Linked DNA regions of Oryzias latipes. The protein of the gene in region 1 purifies or fractionates together with the protein of each later gene. This does not show direct contact. Links are inferred from orthologs where the notes say so. Each region holds a gene or a part of one and is shown on either strand. Other genes may lie near its edges.

The links.
Region 2: the proteins of pfdn4 (region 1) and pfdn2 purify together in Homo sapiens (affinity purification with mass spectrometry; 6 studies listed by BioGRID and IntAct, counting the BioPlex papers as one, with this or other methods). This does not show direct contact. The link is inferred for Oryzias latipes from reciprocal best matches to the Homo sapiens genes PFDN4 and PFDN2.
Region 3: the proteins of pfdn4 (region 1) and pfdn5 purify together in Homo sapiens (affinity purification with mass spectrometry; 5 studies listed by BioGRID and IntAct, counting the BioPlex papers as one, with this or other methods). This does not show direct contact. The link is inferred for Oryzias latipes from reciprocal best matches to the Homo sapiens genes PFDN4 and PFDN5.
Region 4: the proteins of pfdn4 (region 1) and pfdn1 purify together in Homo sapiens (affinity purification with mass spectrometry; 5 studies listed by BioGRID and IntAct, counting the BioPlex papers as one, with this or other methods). This does not show direct contact. The link is inferred for Oryzias latipes from reciprocal best matches to the Homo sapiens genes PFDN4 and PFDN1.

What each region holds. Positions count from the first base shown.
Region 1 is NC_019865.2:24,672,597-24,677,835, reverse strand, and holds the end of pfdn4 (prefoldin subunit 4), read left to right. Parts: intron 1-3,186; coding exon 3,187-3,318; 3' UTR 3,319-3,538; downstream 3,539-5,239. UniProt on the Homo sapiens protein: Binds specifically to cytosolic chaperonin (c-CPN) and transfers target proteins to it. Binds to nascent polypeptide chain and promotes folding in an environment in which there are many competing pathways for nonnative proteins.
Region 2 is NC_019876.2:18,973,324-18,979,108, forward strand, and holds the start of pfdn2 (prefoldin subunit 2), read left to right. Parts: upstream 1-1,768; 5' UTR 1,769-1,779; coding exon 1,780-1,890; intron 1,891-4,142; coding exon 4,143-4,231; intron 4,232-4,459; coding exon 4,460-4,583; intron 4,584-5,785. Other genes in the region: nit1 (deaminated glutathione amidase), read right to left, coding at 18-97. UniProt on the Homo sapiens protein: Binds specifically to cytosolic chaperonin (c-CPN) and transfers target proteins to it. Binds to nascent polypeptide chain and promotes folding in an environment in which there are many competing pathways for nonnative proteins.
Region 3 is NC_019863.2:4,451,711-4,457,594, forward strand, and holds pfdn5 (prefoldin subunit 5), read left to right. Parts: upstream 1-1,976; 5' UTR 1,977-2,021; coding exon 2,022-2,111; intron 2,112-3,167; coding exon 3,168-3,270; intron 3,271-4,397; coding exon 4,398-4,429; intron 4,430-4,614; coding exon 4,615-4,689; intron 4,690-4,766; coding exon 4,767-4,872; intron 4,873-5,140; coding exon 5,141-5,223; 3' UTR 5,224-5,844; downstream 5,845-5,884. UniProt on the Homo sapiens protein: Binds specifically to cytosolic chaperonin (c-CPN) and transfers target proteins to it. Binds to nascent polypeptide chain and promotes folding in an environment in which there are many competing pathways for nonnative proteins.
Region 4 is NC_019872.2:23,089,464-23,095,332, forward strand, and holds pfdn1 (prefoldin subunit 1), read left to right. Parts: upstream 1-1,888; 5' UTR 1,889-1,954; coding exon 1,955-2,053; intron 2,054-2,758; coding exon 2,759-2,925; intron 2,926-4,352; coding exon 4,353-4,437; intron 4,438-4,519; coding exon 4,520-4,603; 3' UTR 4,604-4,656; downstream 4,657-5,869. UniProt on the Homo sapiens protein: Binds specifically to cytosolic chaperonin (c-CPN) and transfers target proteins to it. Binds to nascent polypeptide chain and promotes folding in an environment in which there are many competing pathways for nonnative proteins.

The DNA.
Region 1 (5,239 bases):
ATGAGCATCAAATTAAAGCAGCTATTGAAAAAGTAAAACACTTTTCCAAAGCATCAGGGTTAAACTTACATTTAAAGAAATGTGAACTGTTGGCTATTCATGACACACCTTTAAAAGAAATCAATCATATCCCCATTAAATCAGAAGTTAAATACTTGGGCATCTATATCAACAAAGACCAAAAAATAAGGCAATCAAGGAATGTGGGTGAAAAACTTAATGAATGTAAGACGAGGTTGAATATGTGGCTCCAAAGAGATATTTCGCTGTTGGGTCGGATCTATCTGACAAAGATGGAGGGTTTGTCTATATCAGTGTTTTTCAACTAGTGTGCCGTGGGAAATTGTCCTCATTAACTGATCTAAAAACATTTTCCATCTCCAGGATTTCAGCTCTCTGTTCATTCATACAGGCCCTGATAAAACACTGAGGAGTTAGGAATATAAAAGATCATAAAATACTTTTTCTTTGCGTTTATTTTATTTTATTAAACACATTTGATAAGAATGACTGTACAGTACCGCGATTCAGCTGCAGCTCCGGCTGTATTTTGGAAAAGTCCCGCCCCTTTGACTGTCTCCACCAATCATTCTTGGGGAGCTTAATCACATGTCATCAGTTTGACCAATCAGAAGTGGTTAAAGTCTTCACTTCCTTGTCCCGATTTAGCTCGTAAAGTCGCTCAGCTCTAACAAAAATACCAGCTAAAGCTCGTCTTTAGCGGTGTAACTTTCCACAGAATCCGGTATCAGACCGTGGAACAAGTGAACAAAACAATGAAGCTCAGAAAAGCGATCTCCACCGGCCGTTTAATGCACTACATCTCCCATGATGCATTGGGTTGTGAAGGTGACAGCGCACAAGGAGATCTGTTGTTAGTCTTGAAAACAACGAACACACTTCAAACTTTTTTTAAATCTTCTAACTTAACTTTTATTGCATCTTTTAGAAAAAAACAGCTGCAGTTTCCAGCTTTTTCTGTAACAATTATCTCAAAAATGCATGTGAGATTGTGGAGGGGCTGTAGATCAATACAGACTATGACTTTCTCTTTTTTTTTTAATTTTTGGATGCTGGTGTGCCGCAGGATTTTTTTTAAGGTTAAAGTGTGCCGTGGCTCAGAAAAGGTTGAAAAACACTGGTCTAGATGTATTATTCCATCTTACTCTAATGCCATCCCAAACAAAATGATCAAATCCATCAACCAAATGACTTTTAACTTTATTTGGAGAAACAAGCCTCATTACATGAAAAAAAACTATATGGTCACAGGAACAAACACATGCAGCCTGGTTTTTCATGTATGATTAAACGAACTACCCATAATAAGTCTAATGGGAGTGAATCTGTTTGACCCAAAATGGGGGCGTGGTCTTCTATTTGACAAGTAACTGTTAAATCTTTAGCTTTCAGGCACTTTTGTGGTGTAACCATCCATTTGTACGGTTTGATTCAAATCCTCATTTGTGGTTTAGCCAAAAATTCCTCCAGTGTGACTCGGATAAACAGCTGGTACTAAACAGTGCTGGTAAAGTTTTCCACTTTCCTTGTATTTCTTCCAGATCATCAAGTGTAAATTAAATAAGTGTGCAGACAAACAAGTAAAGAAAAATGAATGTCAAACCCATTCACATTTTAGTTTCCTAAAGTTCTGCTGTTTTTCCACATCCAAAGAATCCAAAAGGAACTTTATTAGAACATTTTAGCACACTGGATGGTCACATGACTTTGCTAAATTCATTGTGTTTTCACACATTAGACTGGAATGATGGACGGATCATTTTTTTGCTCATGTGTTTTCCGCTGTGATGCATTTGCTCGTTTTTACGTTATCGTAAAATAAACCTACTGAGCCTCAATCCAAATGATATTTCCCAACATCAATTATAATCGATTTATTTCGTTTAGAAAAGATTTTATAATGGTATAGGTGAATTCAATTACCAACATGCCTCAGACAGATCGATCTGGTTGAATCATCGGAATATAAATTAATTAACTGGCGAATCATTAGACCTCCACTAAAAAGTGATTAGATTGTATGACCGGCCTATTGCTTCACTTTCTCCACCATTCGGTTCAATGGAACAAATGTTTGGTTCTAAGCAGAGAATAGTGGCATCCCTACCATGTTCCCTTTTTTATGAAAAAGACAGCCTTCAGTGACATCATCTACTGCCAAGATGGGGAAAGTGAGAAAGGATAAAAGATCCTTGAAAGAAAAATTACAATCCATACCAGCACCAGATCTCATGCCACTGCTTTAAATTCAGGAAAAATAATAAGAATGTGGCTGTTTGCTGCGTTATTGGTGATATTTCCAGTAAAGGAATTTGTACTTTATGCGATCCAGGACTCACTCTAATAAAGATCCCCACTGGCTTTATGTATAAATGCTACTAATAAAGTGGTTCAAATGGGTTAATTTATGTTTACTCTACCTTCCTAGAAGGCTCAAATCGCTTTACACTCACATTCACACAGTGATGGTGGCTGATGGGAGCCAAATTGATTTTACCATTCTGTAATTCTGGCATTATTTTGGATATAGCTCAACCTTAACTGGAACATTTCTAGAAAAATCTTTTTCAAATAAGATCTCTGTGTGTAGCAAGTCTGCGGTCTGTCATGCTTTAACACCATCGTTCAGATTCTTCTGGTGGAGCTTTTTGACTGACATCCACCAACATGCCCATTTCCCCATTTCAAGTTAAATTATTAGTTTAAAAAAAACAATCAAACACTTGTATATTATGATAATTGTACTTTTTGTTTGGCTTCATCATTACTGCAGTGGCTGTGGCTTCAGTTGGTCCCAGTTTTTACTGAAGCTTAAAAGGAAACGACATTTTCCAAAATAAATTGCAGAAAAAGAAACTTCATGACATTTTATTCAAACATAAGTTTAAAAAAAATCTATATGATGTTTTTAAACAAAATTTTGAATCTACATTTTGCTACATTGCTTCTTCCTTTTTAGAATGATTCTTTTTTCAAAACACTTCCTTTCAAAATAAAAGCTTACTTAAAACAAGAAAATTTTCTCCTAAAAATGTTTAAAGTCCTTAGTCAGCAAAAACAAATTCCTGCAGCTGCATTTGTCTGTCATTTGGAAAGTCAGAGTAGACTTAGCTGTTCTCCTGAAGTTTTCTTGCTCATCAACAACTTCTTCTTCTCCGTGAACAGGAGGCGCTAGAGGAGGAGGTCAGAGGCTACGAGGAGCGAGTATCATCCATACAGCAGGTCCTGAACGACCTGAAGGTCCAGCTCTACGCCAAGTTTGGAGACAACATCAACCTGGAGGCAGATGAGAGCTGAGCTCCAGACGGACTCTGACGGCTGCACCGACACGAACGTTTCCTCCCATTTCTGCCTCGCCGCCATACATCAAGCCTTTAGAGTCGCAGTTTTTAGCCTCCCCCTCAGAGATCTCATGGTCATGCCGTCTGAAATGACAAAACAACCTGCATATATTTAAGGATTTTTTTTACTACAATTTCTGTTAAAAGTGAAATAAAGAACATCTGAAGTGTCTCTAGTTTAACTTTCACTCTCACAGAACAGAGCGTCACCTCACAATCTGTCATTTCAACCGTGGACCGGTACCAGGCATCAGAAAAACAACACAACGTTCATTTTTTTATAATTCGTTTCTGAAGGAAGCTTTATTTGTGAAAATTACGCAGACCATAAAAATGCATAATATTCAGCAAGCTGCTGTCTAATGTCAAGAGGATGCTGCTAATAAAGTTAGAAAACAACAGTTTTAGTGATTTTTTTTTTTTTTAATTTTAGATTTATCACCATACAAGTTAGACAAAGCTCAAGCGTGACAAACATCCACACATTTGTTACGTCTAAGCTGGATTAGTGTAATTCTGTTAGCAGTGTGTCCTAAAAATTCTTTATTAAATAGTTGTTTTTGATGTATAGAATTCGGGGAAAACAGTGCAAAGTAATGTGTTTCACGTTAAAACTTGTTTTATTAGGTCTGCATTCAGCCGACCACATTTCAATGAGTTCCTGTGTTTTATTGTCACGGTTACCTCCTTCCTACTCTGTTTATATCCCATAATGCACCACTATGGTGGCCGTTTTGGTTCAGTTGTCCCGCTCCAAGGACGGATTGTATTCAGGCGGAGGAATCTCAGAGTGAACAAAAGCTCAGTCTGGTTGATCACCTCCTCCAAAGATGGGTCAGAGAGCGGTTCCTGGTTCTGGATCAGGGTCCCCTTGGAGGTATTCAGACTGAAAATTTGTTCTGGATTATCGGAAACGAACTCTGGTTCACTAATGTGTCCAGTATGAATACATTTAAAGGGGCGGTTTACATCTGTCATCGGTTCATGAACTTGTTTAGAAGGCAGCATGAGATGTTTATGTTTGTAAATGTGTTGACCTCCTTCACCTGCACAGCTTCTTTTTAATCCAGGGATTATGTGCAGACTCGCCTGTTTGAGGCAATTTAACAGCAGCTTTCCAGAAAATGTTAACTGTTAAGTCTCCACACATTAAATTAGATTTTCCCGTATGAACACGTCCCACTAAAATTAATTTTCACTTTGCGGCTTGCATGAGTTAGAAAAAGATTTAGGAACATCACCAGAGGTTGGGGATCCCAATGAACAAGTTTGTGTCCCCGGTAGGTTTTCCTGCTTAGCAGTCACAGCTGTGAAGAGGAGTGGCTCCATCTACAGAGGCTTGTCTGTGAACAGCCGGCTGAACTTAAAACCCTTGTGCTATCTTAGGTGACCCCACCCTTACATTGACGTGTTATTCCTACCATGACAAAGGTGGATAAAGGTGGAAAGATTTCATGTAAGCCATGGACACCAGTGAAGGAAAAAAATCATTGAAGAAAAAAGGTTCAGCGCACTGTCTAGTGGGTCTAGATGACCCAACTCCCAATGTTAAAGTGCCTAGGATAGTACAAGGGTTACGACTCAGCTGAACTTGCAAGAAGTGACAGCTCTAATCCCCCCCCCCCCCCCCCCGGCCTTATTTAGTCTCCATATCTGTCTCCTCTCTGTCTTTTTTCTGTTCTGTTTTTTTGTCTTTGTAGTTTGTCTCTGATTTTCTCCACACTAATTTTTTAATGCTTAATTTTTTTCAAATGTGACCCCCCCAAAAAAAATCCAATATTCAAGAGCGGAATATGAACAAATGTCTTATTTACACACAAAAAAGACAGAACCATATTAAGTAGGGAAAAAAGCTGGGGTTTGAGGTTTTTCACTCT
Region 2 (5,785 bases), on another chromosome or scaffold:
GTAACAAGCATACCTACTTTAGCTGCGTGGTTTTGTGTCTCAGTCTTGCTAAAGACGCCAAATGCTTGGCACACGATCCCAAAACCCAACTGAACATTGATCCCGGGAACCGTCAACTTCCCTGTTTAACCCATTTTAGTTATTGGTTATCTATGTTTAGCTCGTGTTAGTGTAACATTAACATTTGCTCTCATTCTCAGCGGCAGAAGGTTGACAAAACACTCTTCTTCTCTGCAGTTAACGTGTAGCTAGAAACAAGTGTTTGGCACACTGCTTCCACCTACTGGACATATCTGTGCACTGCTTCCTTACACGAAGGAAGAATCGATTTAGAATAAATAAATGACACGATTCATTAAAAAATAATCTATTTACGATATGAAGTATTGTAAGAAGTAAAGAGAAAAATCACAAGTGTTTGAAATACAACAATATATAGAGATATTTAAAAAAAGTTTTTGGTATTTCATTTTATTTTTAAATGAAAGACTTTTTTTAAAAATACATACAGAAAAGGTTGGTTAATATTATACCAGAAGCTGTTTGCTATCACACTGTGGCAACAATCACATAGGGTCAAATTGTTATGCAGCGAAGTGATATACATTTGGTCTCTACAGGAAAAAGTTGAACATTTTAGCTGAAAATGAAAAAATAAATAAATAAAACAGTTAGACTACCCAAAGCTTTTGAAATGATCATTTCTAATTAGCAGAAACTTTTTAAAATTAGAAATGCCTTTCTTTCTTTAAATTTTATGTCATTGTAGCATGTCAGGCTGATTATTCTGTTAAAAGAAGTTAAACTGTTTTATCCTTTGATTTGTTCGAGGGAAAATGTTTACATGTTACACTTGTGTACTCTACTTGGATTTTATGGTAAAACATGTGCAAAATAATAATAATAATAATGCATTTTAGTTTCTAATTGGCCAATGCACAATCTAGTGAAACCCCGTGGTAGAAATCAATTGTTAGCTGATCAAATAAGCCTTTACTTACTTACTTACTTACTTACTAACTTACCCACTTACTTACTTACTTACTTACTTATTTACTTATTTACTTATTTACTTATTTACTTATTTACTTATTTACTTACTTACTTACTTACTTACTTACTTACTTACTTACTTACTTACTTACTTACTTACTTACTTACTTACTTACTTACTTACAGTTGTGGGGGGCAGATAGAAATTTAACTTGTTTCCCATTTTAAAAAAAAGGATCAATTTGATCTTAGTGCTGTGTCCGAATTTCCAACCTAATCACCAACTACTAAAAACGATATAGTGTCGTGGGTTTTAAAAGCAATTAGGACACCATCCTCACTATTTTTTTTCTTTTTTTAAAACGGGAAATATAACGTTACCGATTTCACGAAGTGAAAATCTGATCAATACATACTCCGTCGTAAATACAAGCAATTTACAACAACTATTTATTAATTCATTGCGTACTTGAAATAAAAAAAATATTGATTGTTTAAAAAAAAGCATTTCAACACATTGTTTTCGCAAAAAATGTTCAAAACGCAATGCATTGTCATTGATCTATGTTGGCCAATTTAATGAGCGTCGATGCACACTGGTTAATTTGCAGAGACTTCCGAGAAATTTCTTAGGAACTGGATTTTGAAATTGTAGATTCGGACAGCATTACAAAATTGCGAACGCACTGTATAGTGCACTGTGTAGTGAGTGGTAAAGGAATTTAGAGATGTATTTTTACACAGGCAGTCATGAGACTGCCTCTGCCTGTGAAAAAAAACTTTCACATGGGTCGGGTCCTTCAAGTGCACTCTATCAAGATGGCAGCCAACAGCAGCACGTTCAGCAAATCGAGCAGCAGCGCGGCTGGAAAACAGCCCGCGCAGTCAGCCGAACAGGTATCCTATTGAGTAGCGGAGTCTTTTGTCTCGGTACTCCTGAGATTGTGACATATTATTCGTATATATTCAGCAGAAAGTAACTAAACCGACGTACAGCCAGTCAGCGCTAACGTTAGCTTCCCCGTGGCCACAGAAGTGTCTTGCAGTCAGACCCATGCGAGGGGAAAGAAATTGTGAGCATGAAATTAGGTCCAATTTGTGCTATTTGCACATCATGGAATGGGATAACGTCAAAGATAAACTAAAGGTACACCATTCTGTATGTGGGTGGTGTGGCCCTCAGAATGGGTCTGACAGAGCATGATGATGCTATTTTTACTACTCAGACAGTCAACAACTATGCACAGCTCAAGGGCTACGGAAGCCTTTCATATAAGAAAAAAACTGTTTCAACACGTTGCCAAATTATTAGTATAAAGCGACGTCTTAGTGATAGACAATAACATGTAGACACACTATAGGAACAAATTAGCATAAAAATGGCAAATGTTGAAATGTATTAATCTTTATTCGATGTTTGTTGAAAAATAACATTAAAAATACATATGAACTTCAAAAAATTTTGGGGTCAAAATTAAATATTTTCATACAGGTTCAAAGAATACTGTGAATTAAGTCATATTAGGAAGTCATATTCTAAGTTATAAATTGCTCTTGATTGAAAAAAGAAAGTAAAGCTAAAAAAAATGGTACATACATTATATATAAAAAAAGTAAAACAATTTGAAATCATTAACATGGAGAAGGTTATGCATTTGGTCTGCTTAAATTGAACCAGAGTTCACTTTAAGGTCTGGGACCTTGACCCATCTTTGCAGGTGGTCTTGGTTAATTTCCAATCAGATTGAGCTCGGGTTCGCTCTAAGATTCCTCAATCTGAATACCACTGAACCTAAATGGCCACCATAGCTGACATAAACAGAGTAGGAATGTGGCTACAGATGAGCCGCGGACAAATAAGCAATTATTATCGTGTTATCAAACAGAAAAAAAGAGTTCAAGTGTTTATTTGTTAGAACGTTTATTTTAACATTGCTGAAAAGGCTACTTGCATGCTTTTCTGTATCTTGTTACGCGGCATTCGCCTGTGGCATGACTAAAAGCTATATTATAGTTTCCTTAACAGAATTCTCTAAAAACAATGCCCTAAAACCACAATGATGAGACACAGCAACTCATTGAAATGTGGTCAGATGAATGCAGGCTAATTAAAATCATTTTTAATGGGAAACACATTGTATCTCACTGCAGGCTGAAATGACACAATTCTGATTGTTTTTTGCCCCTATGCGACCTGTATCTGATCTTTTCATGACAGTCTGAACGACACAGATCCGATCTTTTCAAATGCGACCCAGGCCACTTGCGTATGTGGTCCTGAATCCGATATGTATCCGATCATTTCAAATGCGACCTCCGTCTGAACGTCCAGGCCACATGAATCCGACCCGTACGTCATTGATACGCTGCAAACATCATCATTTTTCGTTGAAGTAGGCGGGAACAAGAACATAAACATCAACCAATGGCGGACGATGCTGCTGAGACCAGTCAGTGGAAGGGAAGCGAAGTCACCGATTTGATTAATATTTGTGGTGACGGCTCTATTCAGGCCAAACTCCAGGGCTCTTTATCGCAACCATGCGGTTGCCCCTCAGAGAGGAGAGAGCGTGGCAGCCTACTCATACCCGACGTCTCGTCATCAATGCAGTTACTAGCATGCTCTGAGTTAAAGCACACACAGCACGTCTCCTTGCCACTGACCGCTTCGCAGCATGCCTTTGCCGTACCAAAGTAACAAATAAAAAGGCTTGTTCCCGACGTTCAAAACTGATAATCGAAAAAAATATAAAATTTTAATAATTTAACTGTTAAGCGGCACACGTCCACATTTCTCTTGTTTTGATCTGCCCTCGTAGTTCCTGGCCAATGACTGAAGAGATCTTTAGTCACATTGTTTTGTTTATAAGCTTTGGTCGCTAACAGAATGGGGCGCTTAACGCCAGTCTGATAAAGGCCTAACGCAAGGTTCGGAACTCGGTCCGGAACAAATTAAGCGGACTGGATCAAAAGGGACTGGGTAAAAAAAAAAACTCTCTAAAGTCACAATTTCCTTTTAAGGTTTGGTAAGTTTATTCAGCCTGAAAGCCCCTCAGTCTGAAACAGCTTACATGCTTGTGTTGGGATCAGACGGATGCGTCAAATGTCATTGGTCTGCATTGATGCCAGCTTTGCGGTGATGTTTTCAGGTGGTTGCCACCTTTCAGAGGATGCGTCAGGAACAACGCAGCATGGCGTCTAAAGCTGCAGAGCTGGAGATGGACATCAATGAGCACAGGTTAGCAGCTGATGACTTCTCCTCTGAGAGCTTTTATAATACTCACTTTTTATGTTTGATTGTTAGCAGGACAGCTAATTGGATCATGTTGGTCTGTAGTTAAATTGACCTTTTTACTTTATATACATTAAACTTAAAAAAGAAAAACATCTTGTAACTCACCTCGTCACATAACTGGTAAGTGGTAAAAGAGTAATAATTTTAATGTTTTTTTCTTTTTGTGTTCAGTTTAGTTATTGAAACTCTTAAGGAAGTGGACCCTTCTAGGAAATGCTATCGCCTGGTTGGAGGGGTTTTGGTAGAGAGGACGGTGAAAGAAGTTCTACCTGCTTTGGAAAACAACAAAGAACAGGTGAAAATAAACAAATAAAAGCTCTTTAACATTTATCACAGGAAGCTGTTTTTCAGGCTAATGGACATTAAAGTCTTACTCTGATCATCATTTGATTTATTTTAAAAACGTTCCCAGTGGCCTTATAAATATGACTATGCCGTTTTAGCCCAAATCGAGAAACGTGTCTTTTTCTAGGAAATTGTTTTTTGTAGCGCGGCTGGAGTTTGTTAGAAATTCACCTCTAAATTGTGGGGAGGACCAATAGGGCAGAGCAAACACCCCCCCCCCCCCCCCCCCCCCCCCATCCAGTCACCCATAACAGAGCTATCTGTTAACATTCTCTCCCGCTAGCTTACAGCCCCTCACAACCTCAACCTAACATGACACCACAAATGGTGAGCAATATTGGAGCCATTCAGCTACCCAGTTTTGAGCCAGGTGACCGCTCAGATGAGGAAAACAAAGATGTACATGGATCTATTTGTCTACAAGTTGATGTATAAGAATGGAGCAGAGCAGAGTGTTTGTGGCTCACCCAGTGTATTTTCTACGTCACAAATATGCTCTTTTTCAAATTGAATTTCTTTGTCTGCTCCTGATTTATAAAAACTTGAATAAAGAAACTAAACTGCAATTCTAACCTACCGGTAATTTTTTTTTGATTTGCCCGAAATTTGGGTCGGCACAGGCACAGCCAGCTTCTTACTCAGAGGGAGAACGTTCACCGAATGCACACACACACACACACACAGACAGACCCCGCCCCTTCCCACCAGTCACCAGCCCACCGTTGATTGACATACACTGTGGTCCAGCAACTGGCAGAACGAGGGGGGCGCCAGCCACCCGCAGCTCTGCGCACGTGTCGTGAATGTAATCTTCCCTCCGCAAGCCCGCATCTATTTTGTTTAGGTATCCCCGATATGGAGCAGCAAGAAGTCAAGGATAAACTTCAGACAGGGGAACTGAAAAGGCAAACACGCACTGCAGCGGCTGCAGTATTTCTCCGCGTAATGAAGCGAGTGCGCATCAAGATCTCTCTTTCACTCTCTTTGTCTGGCCTCTTATTCTGTGTTCCAGCGTTATTTCGTTGTGTAAATGCATTTATCATGATCATAAAAATATGTAAATTATTTTAACTTTAAGAAATCTGGCGTTTTTTTTCTGTCAAAAATACTATGGGATAAATTGAAATTTCGGGTTTGCTTCGGGTTCAGGCC
Region 3 (5,884 bases), on another chromosome or scaffold:
GAGGTTATTAAGACTCCAAAAACTAGTATTAACACTGTGGGAGCAAACTTGATTCTCTGAAACTTTCTTTATAATTCACTTTGGGATTAATACAGCATAAGACTAGCTGATCTGGAGCAGGGAAGATTGGGTCTACTTGACCTTGTTGATCAGATTTAGGGAGAGATTAGTTTAATTTTCGAACTACATTTCGAGTTCCGGCTTTAAAAGTTGTTTGAAAACTGGTTGTTATTGTTTAACACCTGAGTGACGCAAAGGACCATCATGCTACCCAATTTGCCTTCATATGCACATCTGAGGTGACGACAAATAAAAACTTTAGTGTAAGAGCTTGAAAAAACAAAGTTTAAGGAAGACTTGCTGTAAACATTCTGAAATGGCTCTGCATCAATGTTGTCTACATTTGTAGATTTTTTCTCTACTTTGTGTTACTTGAATATTGACAAATCTAATTTTTAATCTGCCTATGAAAAAGGAAGCAGGACGTCCTGAAAAAGAGGGGAAAAGTCTTAATTTGGTTCTTTTGAGTTTTGGTAGAATTTGCCGTTTTTGTCTATGAATAAGAGTATAAACTACGCTTCAAACCTCAGGTAGCCTACCTTAAGATTTAATTCCTAAATCCAAACTTCAAAGCGGGTGATGGCATAAAGAAAGTAGTGTCAATTTTGTCTAGAAAATACTAGGTCATTAATCTGCATGTTTCAATATTGAATAAATATTAAGCAAAAATAGAAAGTTCAAATATTTGTCACAAACACACAGTATGACATGCAGCCAAATGCTTCGTGTAACTGATATGCAAACTAGAACAAGTATGGGCCCCTATACTTGACCCACAGACTGCATGGCAGTTGTTCAACCTGCAGATGTAATTGACTAAATTAAAAACCAGATTATTGTACGTTTCCATGGTCTCTTATCGTAATTTTAATCTTCTTTCTCTTTTGGCTTTTCCCATCAGGGGTCGCCACAGCGAATCATCCTTTTCCACCTCACTCTATCATGAACATCTTCTACCCTAACGTTAGCCAACTTCATGTCCTCTGTTAAGACATCCATGTATCTCCTCTTTGGCCGTCCTCTTGCCCTCCGGCCAGGCAGCTCCATCTCCAACATCCTTCTACCAATATATCCACTATCCCTCCTCTGAACATGTCCAAACCATCTCAGTCTGGCTTCTCTGACTTTGTCGCTAACACAGGCAACATGAGCCGTCCCTCTGATGTACTCGTTCCTTATCCTGTCTAACCTGGTCACTCCTAAGGAGAACCTCAACATCTTCATCTCCGCTACCTCCATCTCAGCCTCTTGTCTCTGTCTCACTGCTACCGTCTCTAACCCATAGAGCAGAGCTGGTCTCACCACTGTCTTGTACACCTTTCCTTTGAGTCTTGCTGGCACTCTTCTGTCACACAACACTCCTGACACTTTCCTCCAACTGCTCCAACCTGCCTGCACTCGCCTCTTCACCTCTTTTCCACACTCCCCATCACACTGAACTGTTGACCCCAAGTACTTAAACTCCTGCACCTTCTTCACCTCAGCCCTCTGTAACCTAACGCTTCTACCTTGATCCCTCTCATTCAGACACATGTATTCTGTCTTACTACGACTGACCTTCATGCTTATCGTAATTTTAATATTCTGCAGAAAAAAACCCATTCAATTTCAATCAAAGAAACTGTTATGCAGAGTCTGCGTTAGAAAATAGTCATATAAACTAGAGCTAGTCAACATATTTAAAAAGGAAGTTTTCTTCTTTCCTTTTATTTATTTATTTTTTGCATTTCATTTTAAATCATATTTACTTTGAAACAGCTTTCATGTTCTAATAAACCGGAAAATATGTCAACCGGAAGTACATCTCGCAACCGGAAGAAGAATCCGTCTTTTGTCACCACGCTTCCAACATGGCGGTGAATCTCACAGACCTCTCTCTGCCGCAGTTAGAAGGACTCAAAGGCCAGCTGGACCAGGTAAAATGCGTGAGTTTAGACTGAATATGTGACCGCTGCTTCTTCATGAAGGCGTCTACGCTAAAGGCGGGAATGAGAGCAGCGCAGCGGCCGCGGAGGGTCATGATGTTTCCCCGCAGGGGCGTGGAGTTTCAGGTGCTGCTCGGTTGTAAAGAAGGGTTTTTGAGTTGACAGAGAAAAAACCGACAATAGTTTATTTTACAATTTGTCCTTAGACTTTATAGGATTTAATTGATACATAGACAGGATGGGTAGCGACCTTCAAGAGTTAAGAGAAATGAGTCACAGTTTGAACTTGCCTGGCCTTATCATTATATTATTTACATTTTTTTGTTAAATTTTGAATCAGGCTTATTGTTGTCATTCAACCAATACACCCGCTATGAGTGACAAAGCAGCTGAGTTTTTACAATGCACACATCCGGGGGAAAAAACGTACCTAACGGTACAGAAGTGAACTGAACCGAACCTGCTGTACTGAAACGCTTCGGTTCAACTACGTTTATTCTTACACCCCTAGAACATATAATACCCTTATTGATAAGGCATTCTGGCGTTGGGAATTATTATAAATTCTAATGAATTCAAGAAATGCAACAGAATCTATCCTGGTGAAGTAGTCACAGGTGTGCAGTTTAGTGTAGTTTACCTCTATGTGGCAGATGTCAGTGCTAAACATCTACAAAATTAATCAAATAACAACATCACTCACTGAAGTAAATTGTTGTAGCATTTCAGGATATGACTATGTTAATGAAAAACTACCTAAATTATTGAACACAATCGTGCTGGAAAGAAAAATTGCACAAAAGCACGACTGAAACCGTTACCAAAAAGCCTGTGTGCGATCATTTCCAGCTGAGCGCCGTCCAGACCGCGCTTGGTGGCCGAAAGAAACTGCCAGCTCAACATTTCTGCAAACTGTGGCCACGGGGCAGCAGGAGTGTTGGCATAACTTGGTCATTTCCAGGATCTGCTTTTGCAACCTCAGTTTCTCAGCTTTACTATCAGTTTTGTTTCACAATGCAACAAAACATCACACTTATGCGTCAATAAAAAACTGGAAACATTCGTTTTCTAAAACTAGTGAATGGTGGTGTATCTGAGTACATAGATGGAACTCCTCTGGGGTGTTTCTTTTAATTTTTTTTAATTGCTTTTTTGAAATTCATGCTGTGTTTTTTTTCCCAGGAAGTTGAATTCTTGACTTCTTCAATTGGCCAGTTCAAAGTTGTGCAGACCAAGTATGTTGAAGCAAAAGACAGTTTAAATGTACTGACCGAAAACAACAAAGGTATGTAAAATGTCCCTTACTGGTAATTTGTTTGATCATTAATGTTTTAAAAAATGTTTTATAGTTTTACTTCTAACTTTGCTTAGGATGGCACCTCTTTTAACCGTCACACCACGTGCGCATAGATCAGTGTTTTCACACCTTTTTTGAGCCACGGCACACTTTAACCTTGACAAAAATCCTGTGGCACACCAGCATCCAAAAATAAAAATAAAACTCCTAGTCTGTTTTGATCTACAGCCCCTCTGCAATCTCACATGCATTGTTGTGATCATTGTGGCAGAAAAAGCTGGAAGCTGCAGCTGGTTTTCTAAAAGATGTAATAAAAGTTAAGTTAGAAGATTTAAAAACTGTTTGGTGTGTGTTCGTTGTGGTTTCAAGACGTCAAAGGAAGACTCATTGTACACTGATACGCTGCCACTTTAACCCAATGCATCATGGGAGATGTAGTGTCAACAGCCGGCAAACGCCAGACAGACTGGCGTCTTGGAGCTTCATGGTTTTGTTCCCTTGTTCCACGGTCTGACACCGGATTCTGTGGAAAGCTACACCGCTAAAGACGAGCTTTAGCTGGTATTTTTGTTGGAACTGAGAGACTTTATGAGCAGAAATGGAACAAGGAAGTGAAGACTTTAACCACTTCTGATTGGTCAGACTGATGACGTATGATTAAGACTCCAAGAATGATTGGCGGAGACAGTTAAAGGGGCGGGACTTTTCAGAAAACAGTTAATACTGCAGCTAAATCACGGTACCGTCATTCTTATTTAAAAGTCTTTAATATAATCAAATAAACACAAAGAAAAAAGTATTTTACGACACCTTTTGCTTTGATTCCTGCTTTGCACACTCTTGGCATTCTCTTGATGAGCTTCAAGGTGACAGTGATGTTACGGAGCGAAATAACAAGAATAAACAAATACGTATCGTACACACATCCTAAATCCTAAGCTCCAAGTCGTGTTTTAAGCCCTTGACGTCAAATGTCAAGTCAGTGCATGTGAGGCTGAAGTGTCACTCAAGTCCCAGGTCCAAGTCTCCGACTGTCCTTCAGTCTTGGAGGCTACAGAATGTCTAATATATACAGATGGTTGAATTTAACAACTTTCCCTCTTTCTTCCATACAGGAAAAGAATTACTCGTCCCCCTCACCAGTTCTGTATCCTTTATCCATCTAACTATTTTTAGTCTTTTGTAGTCATTTACAAAGTCTATAGTTGTCATGAAAAGGTTTATTTATATAATAAGTTCCACAAATTAGATAAACTCCAACAAACCGTTTTCATTTGCTGTGCATCTGTAAACAGCTTGTTTCTATTGACCTTAAGCAGAGCTGCTGAACAGATGTACGTCCCCGGCACATTAAACGACGTGGAGCACGTGTTGGTGGATGTGGGAACGGGATATTATGTGGAAAAGGTAAAAGTGGAAGCACTTTGAAACTTGAACTTCATAAACAGTCAGTAGACTGTAAATCTTACTGTTTCTGTTCCCAGAATGTGAAAGATTCAAAAGAATTCTTCAAGCGCAAAATAGACTTCCTCACCAAGCAGATAGAGAAAATTCAGCCAACTCTCCAGGAAAAACACGGCATGAAACAAGGTAGGCCATTCTCACGCATGATATAGGGCTGGGAATTATTCTTATTTTTGTTGTATATCATCTTATTACTTTATGGAAGACAAAAATAACATTTAATGAGGCGCTAATGTGACTGAAGTGATAGTTTTATAGTCGGGACAAACTATAGTTATTTCATTATCCTCAGATTTAATGAAGCATCTGTTGCAGCAAAGAAAGTTTTTTCTTTTTAAATATATTTTTGTCCCTTTGGCATCCGGGTTTAATATGTTGGTTTTCCCTCTTGCAGCTGTGATTGAAGTGATGAACATGAAGCTGCAGCAGCTGCAGAGTCAGCAAGGATCACAGGCGGTTGGGACCAGCAAGGCTTAATGAGAGCAACACTTTCTGCATTTTTAACTCCACCCACAAAAACTCTACCGATACTGTTGTGTTGCTTTGGTCAGTCGGATCATTAAAGTGCTCACTATAACTTAAACAAACGTTTGACTTTGTTTTTTTAGAACGTACCGATAATCCCTACATTTTTTTTTATTGACAAGATGTTTAAATATATCTTATATTTCAGTTTTAACTGATTTGCTTGTTATAACAGGCTTTTTAGTGGACATGCAAGTTAATAAATGTTGTCATTAGAATTTCTAAGTTGATATAGTTTTCAAGAGCAGTACAGCAAATATATCATCTGAAGCTTTTTTTTTTTTTGCCTACTTAAATCTTTTTACAAGCAACCTCTGCTACAGAGACCTGATGGCTGCATCAGCTAAAGCAGTTCTGTCAGAAAACTGAGGCATGGCTCTAAAGAGGATGGCTCCTTTGCCTTTTTCTCTCCAGAACAAGTATCTGGAAGCGTGTTGCATTCAATGAAGAAACAAAACACTGGGGATTTTTTTTCCAAACGGGCTGGGCTCCAACCTCATCTGCTCATGAAAACTGTAAGATGGGCTGCAATTAAAAGTAATAAAGCAACATTGTGTCCGTGTCGTAGACATGAATCGTTTTGTTCCTCTGCTCGTCTGTTTTGTTCTTCCAT
Region 4 (5,869 bases), on another chromosome or scaffold:
GCCCATCAGTAGACGGGACGGGCTCTGGCAGCACCCTCGACCCCGAAAGGTTTGAGAAAATGGATGGAAAAATAACAAACTCAACAAAGCTAACCCAGAGCTATAGTAGGCTAACTGGTGGGCAAACATAGCAATCGTTAAAAAGAAATAAAAAAAATATATTAAAAAAAACAAAGAAAAGTTTGGTATATGTATCCTACTGATTGTTTGTTTGTTTAATTTGATCTTTTTCGTTACTGCAGCCAGTTAATTGCTTAATTTCCCCGTTGTGGGGACAATAACATTCTAAAAAGTTCTATTTTATTCCTGTTAAATAAAAAAACTTCAAGACGCATGCGCAAATTTGAACAATCTGTGTTTTGGAACTCCATGTATATGATTGTGAGCTCTTGATGTGTTTTTACAGTTTGCCATCAGAGTAAAAAGCCCATTGCTAAAAAATAAAATTGGCACATTGCTACTGCCAGACCTTTGCGCTCAAATCGCGCCGCAGGACCCCAGATCGTGTCTCTGCCATTGACTCAACCATTGCCATTGTAAAGGCCCGTACACACCGGGACGAATATTCACCAGGCATTATTCGCCAGCGTTTTTCGCCACGTTTTTTTTGTTCACACCCAGGCGATTTTCGCTGACGATGAGCCAAGCGAACATGCAATTTCATTCCCTGACTTTAGATGGCGCTTAATGTAAAACAGAAATACCCCTGTACACAAGGTGGCGCTGCGCAACTTTACGCTTCTTAAAGTCGCTTTTCACTCAGAAGAAGAGAGCAAGTATTTACGCGCTTGTCAGAATCAAACAAAGAAAACATGAATATTTCCAGCACCAGTAGCTCCAGTTCCAGCAATGAAGAAATTATTGTTCTGTTGAATGATGTGTTGCACCGAGTAAAGACTGATAACTGCCGTAAAGCAAGTCAAAGTTTTATTAACACAGGATCATTATTTGCAGTACAATACCTTTATACCGATGACACCACAGCAAACGATGAAAGACGCTGGAAAAGACGCAGATTTTGGGTACATCCCATAGTTACGAGAAGAGAAGAACATGGGGAGTTTTATCGACTGGTACGAGAGCTAAAAATGTATCATGAGCGTTTTCGGGGATATTTTAGAATGTCCGTCATTATTTCTTTGCGGCAGTGTAGATTCCACTTGGCGTCTTATCTTCTTCGCTGGTATGTGTGCTCAGAAAGGCAGTTTTGTGTTTGAGCGCCCCCAAGTTGTGTTTTACTGTAACTTCAGAAGCTCCAGACACGTGTCCAAAAGCCCCATTCTCATTAGTCGTATAGTTTTTGCCGCGTGGCGCCAAACCAAAAAAACGAACCCGAGGCATTTTTTATAAAGTGACGCTTTGAAGCGTGGCGTTTTTTCACGTCGGTGTGCACACTCACATTGGTGCCCTTTGTTTAGTCATGAGGCGTTAAACATCGGCGAATATCGCGCGCGAAATTCGTCCCGGTGTGTACGGGCCTTAACTGGCCACCTCTGCCACGAATCTCGTTCAGTGTGAACGCACCTTAAATGTAACCATAACACTAAACTTAACCTTTCCTCTGGGTCCGGGTGTTCAAGAATTAAGTTTTGCACTGGCCACAAGTATTTGGAAAATGACGTGTGAATAGTGCTATGCAAGTGTATTCAACAATTTTTACAATTTCTGGGACTGTCTATCGGTCTTCACTCAGGCAAGACGCAGCTTGCAGATAGGGGGAATCGAGGGCGGAGCTAATCAGCACCAATAGCCACGCCCATGTAGAGGAGTTCTTGGAAACACGCTTCAGATAAACATGACATTTTAAAGACATTTGGCTTGTGGAATTTTAGTTAAAAAAAACGTCGTAATTGTAACTAAAACACCACTGGGAACGTTTTTATTTTTTTTAAAAAAAAGGTCACGGGGAGTTTAAATAGATCATCGTTACTGGGAGGGGCTGTGGGCAAACTTGATGCTGCCACAAAATAAGCCCGAAGAAGACAATCTTGCGCATGCGCACTCGAAATCTACTCTAAAGATGGCGGCGCCCGTGGACCTGGAACTAAAAAAGGTGTGTAGTTTACAGGACGCCGAACACATCATATGTCTGACGCACGTGGTTGCGCATACTCTCCGATATTGGGTTACAGGCAGCTACCGCTGGTAGTTATTAGTGTGACCCATACCGCATTCAGTGGTGCACGCGGAAGGTTCACGAAATTCGGCTGACCGGTCACTTCACTAGTAACAAACATGTGAACCGGACCATTGTGTACCTGCACCGAATCTTTGAACCCCTTAGAGCAAAATGAGTTTTGAGGTTGCCCCCCCCCCCCCATCTCTTTGAAACGGCCGAGCATCCTTTCTGATCGGGTGGACCATATTCCAATCCCACAATCCTTTGCGGTATTAACACTGAGACAAAAGATGATGGGGTTTGAGGAAACCAGATTATGACAAACATGCTTGTAAATGTTAAAGTCCAGTTTTCCATCTTTCAGTGTCGTGGATTATTTTAGGTCAGATGTCGTTTTTTTTTTTTACCTCCTTTATGCAAACATTTAAATGGTCCAGGTTTATATCTTCATAGACTACCTTCATGTAGCAGATCGCTTTGCTTGTTAACTGATTTACAGGAGAGGCAGTGTTTCATTTTTCTGTTTGACTTCCTGAATCAAGCCAGAGAAAAGGAAGAGATGGGAGAAATAGTGAAACTCTGATTCTCTCCTGGTTTCCTTTTCGACTTTGAACAGAGCGATACTTCCTGTCTCTGCAGGCATTCGCCGAGCTACAGCTGAAGATGATTGACACACAGCAGAAGGTGAAGCTGGCCGACCTCCAGATTGATCAGCTGACTCGAGTTCAGAAACATGCCAAGCTCACAAGCACAGAGATCTCCTCGCTGCCGGAAAACACGCGCCTGTACGAGGGCGTCGGCCGAATGTAAGTGTGCTCTCCTGTAATCAATGCCAACTCACCAAAGAACACAGATGAGTTAGACACATCTGAAAAACATGAAACCAGTCTGGTTTTTCCATCAAATGTCTGGTTCTGCTTTGGAAATCTCAGTGTCACACGGTTCTACTGCAGTTGTGAAACCATGTGCCTCTTATTTTGAAAACTTTACATTTATTTTAAGGAGATCTCCACCAGATTCACATAAATTTCTTTTTGGAGAGGTTTTGATTGGCCTCATTGATGCTACTGAGGCTCCATGAGAGTTCCAGACAGAGGAATTCTGTCTGACCTGATTGACTTTATGAACTTCACATCCAGTCAACACTTTTATACACAAGTTTGAAGAGGATGTGCGTTTAGCAACTGATCTGCACAAACACTGAGCTACATAAGGGTTAATGGCCAACAAAGTGTGCTTTATCAGCATTAATGCACTTTATGCGTTAATGCTGATAGCACTCTTGCCTCGGAGCAAGAAGGCCACTGGTTCAAGTCCCGGCTGGGGGACCTGAAACAGAACATCAATGGGGGACCTTTCTGCATTGAGTTTGCATGTTCTCCTCGTGCATGCATGGGTTTTCTCCGGGGTCTCCAGCTTCCTCCCACCGTCCAAAAAGATGCTCCATAGGTTAATTGGCAACTCTAAATTGTCCATAGGTGTGAATGTGAGTGTGAATGGGTGTGTGACTGTGACCCTGCGGCAGACTGGCGACCTGTCCAGGGTGTCCTCTGCCTTCACCCATAAGTGGCCGGGATAGGCTCCGGCAGCCCCGTGACTCCGAAAGGGAACAAACGGAAGAAAATGAATGAATGAATGCACTTTGTGGAAGCAACCGTCCTCCGCAGTTGCTTCCATAAAGTGCATTAATTTCTGATTGTGCCCACTTTGACAGCCGTTAATCCGCTGCTACCATGATTACTTACAAAAGAAATAAATATATAACCAGTTTTTAGGCCTTTCATTCTAACATTTTTATGGTTCCAATCTCTTTTTTTTCTCTTCACAAAAAGTCGACTATTTGTTACGTGTCACGGTAACATAACGCGCTGCTTAGCCCCACTGACCTCGACTGCTGCGGCAAAGGAAAGCAATATATATGCTGATCGTCACCACGGGTTAAATAAAGCATCAGTTCAGAGAGAAAGTTTACCTCTTTTAGTCCAGATGATGAGGCTGAAGTTTGTTTTAAAGAAGCCAGTGCAGTGATACAGAACAGTTAAGCTATGTGCCCGGAACTTCTTTTTTAGGCGTACATTATCACCGTGGATTATCACTTTAATGCACACCCAGCAGCCAATCAGAATCGAGTATTCACCCGGACCATGGTATAAAGAAACGTTAATGTCTGAATGCTGCCTTTAGGTTCATCTGCCCTGCCGATCCTATAGATGACAGAAAACTGTTGTTTCAGGTTCATTCTTCAGTCCAGGGAGAAGATCAACAACCTGCTGACAGACAAACAGAAAACCGTGGACGAGAAGATCAAGGAGCTTGAGGTGCGAGTGCCTGCTCCATCACAGCTCGCAGTGCATGTTTGCGGGTTTCTGACTGTTGCTGCCCGTTTGTGGTCTCTTGCAGCAGAAGAAGGTGTACTTGGAGCGCAGCGTGAAGGAGGCTGAAGACAACATCAGAGAGATGCTGCTGTCCAGAAGAGCTCCGTAATCCGTTTTTTTTCTGTGCCACGTGATCCCAATAAAGCCCCTCCCACCCCTCTGTGTTGGTGTGAAGTGTCTCCTAAAGGTCTGTGAGGACCATGTAGGTTTGAAGGAGAGATGAGGGTCAACCAAACTGCAGTGGGGGTCAGTGACTGGGACACAACAGCAGAAGGAACCTCCACGGGCCTTCAGACTGGATGTTCTGTGGTTTTTGTCACAGACACAGTACAGTTCTGTAGAAAGATGTCAGAACACACAGGGAAATGCTGCTACACCTACCGGGGAACACCACCAAAACTCTCTTCAGACTGACAGTCCAGTAAGTGCCCGCTCCCGGCACACAAAATCAAAAAGATGTGGAAATCATTAAATCAACCAGCTAAACAGGCCGTTAGACACGCCCACAATTTGTAACTGTTTGGCAGGGATGGCCAGTTCCTGGCCTTAAGGGTTTATGTCCTACATGTTTTCAAACCAACCTGATTCTCATTGGCTAATTGATCCAGGTAATCAGCAGCCGATACGGCAGGATTTCTGGGGAAACGGCAGGCCTGGAGTTGGACTTCCTGTTCTACATCATAACAAGACAGATGAAGATGATTTTAGAATTGCACAACGCGTTTAGTAAAAACAAAGGATAATAAACAACACAATAACATGAAGTGTGAAGGTGTGTCTGGGTTTGTGAGTGTATGTTCGCAGATGGATTATTAACCGAACTGAAGAGTGCATGCAGGAGAGGGAACGAGAAAAATGATGACTTAGAGCAGGACTGCAGCAACGACCCGAACACATCAGGAAAACCGAAAGACCAGAAAGCCCCCCCCCCCGAAAGGCTCCTATGGTGGATCTTTTATTGCCATCATTTGATTTCCAAACACCTGGTGTGCAGGAGGAGGAGAAAAAGAGCAGGCACCAGGACGACCCCCACATGGCCCAGAGGTCCATGCAGGAGATCACAGAGAAGCTCCAGCATGAAGCTCTGCAGACTTACAAACCAAGAGTGGAAATATTCAGGAATTCTGTCAGGCTTTAACCTAGAATGAGGCTGTTGGCATAAAAGTTTCTCCCACGAACAATCCCCTCCGTCTTTATTCACTGCACTCATCTACAGTTAAAGTACATTTGTCAGGAGTACTTTGAATACTTGAGTATTTTTGTGTGCAGCTGACTGCCGTACTCAAACAGGAAGTCTCTGGACGCTGCAGACCCCTGAGTCCTGGAGCTCACTGATCTGTCCAATTGGAAGGTCTAGAGCTCTGGTGAGCCACAG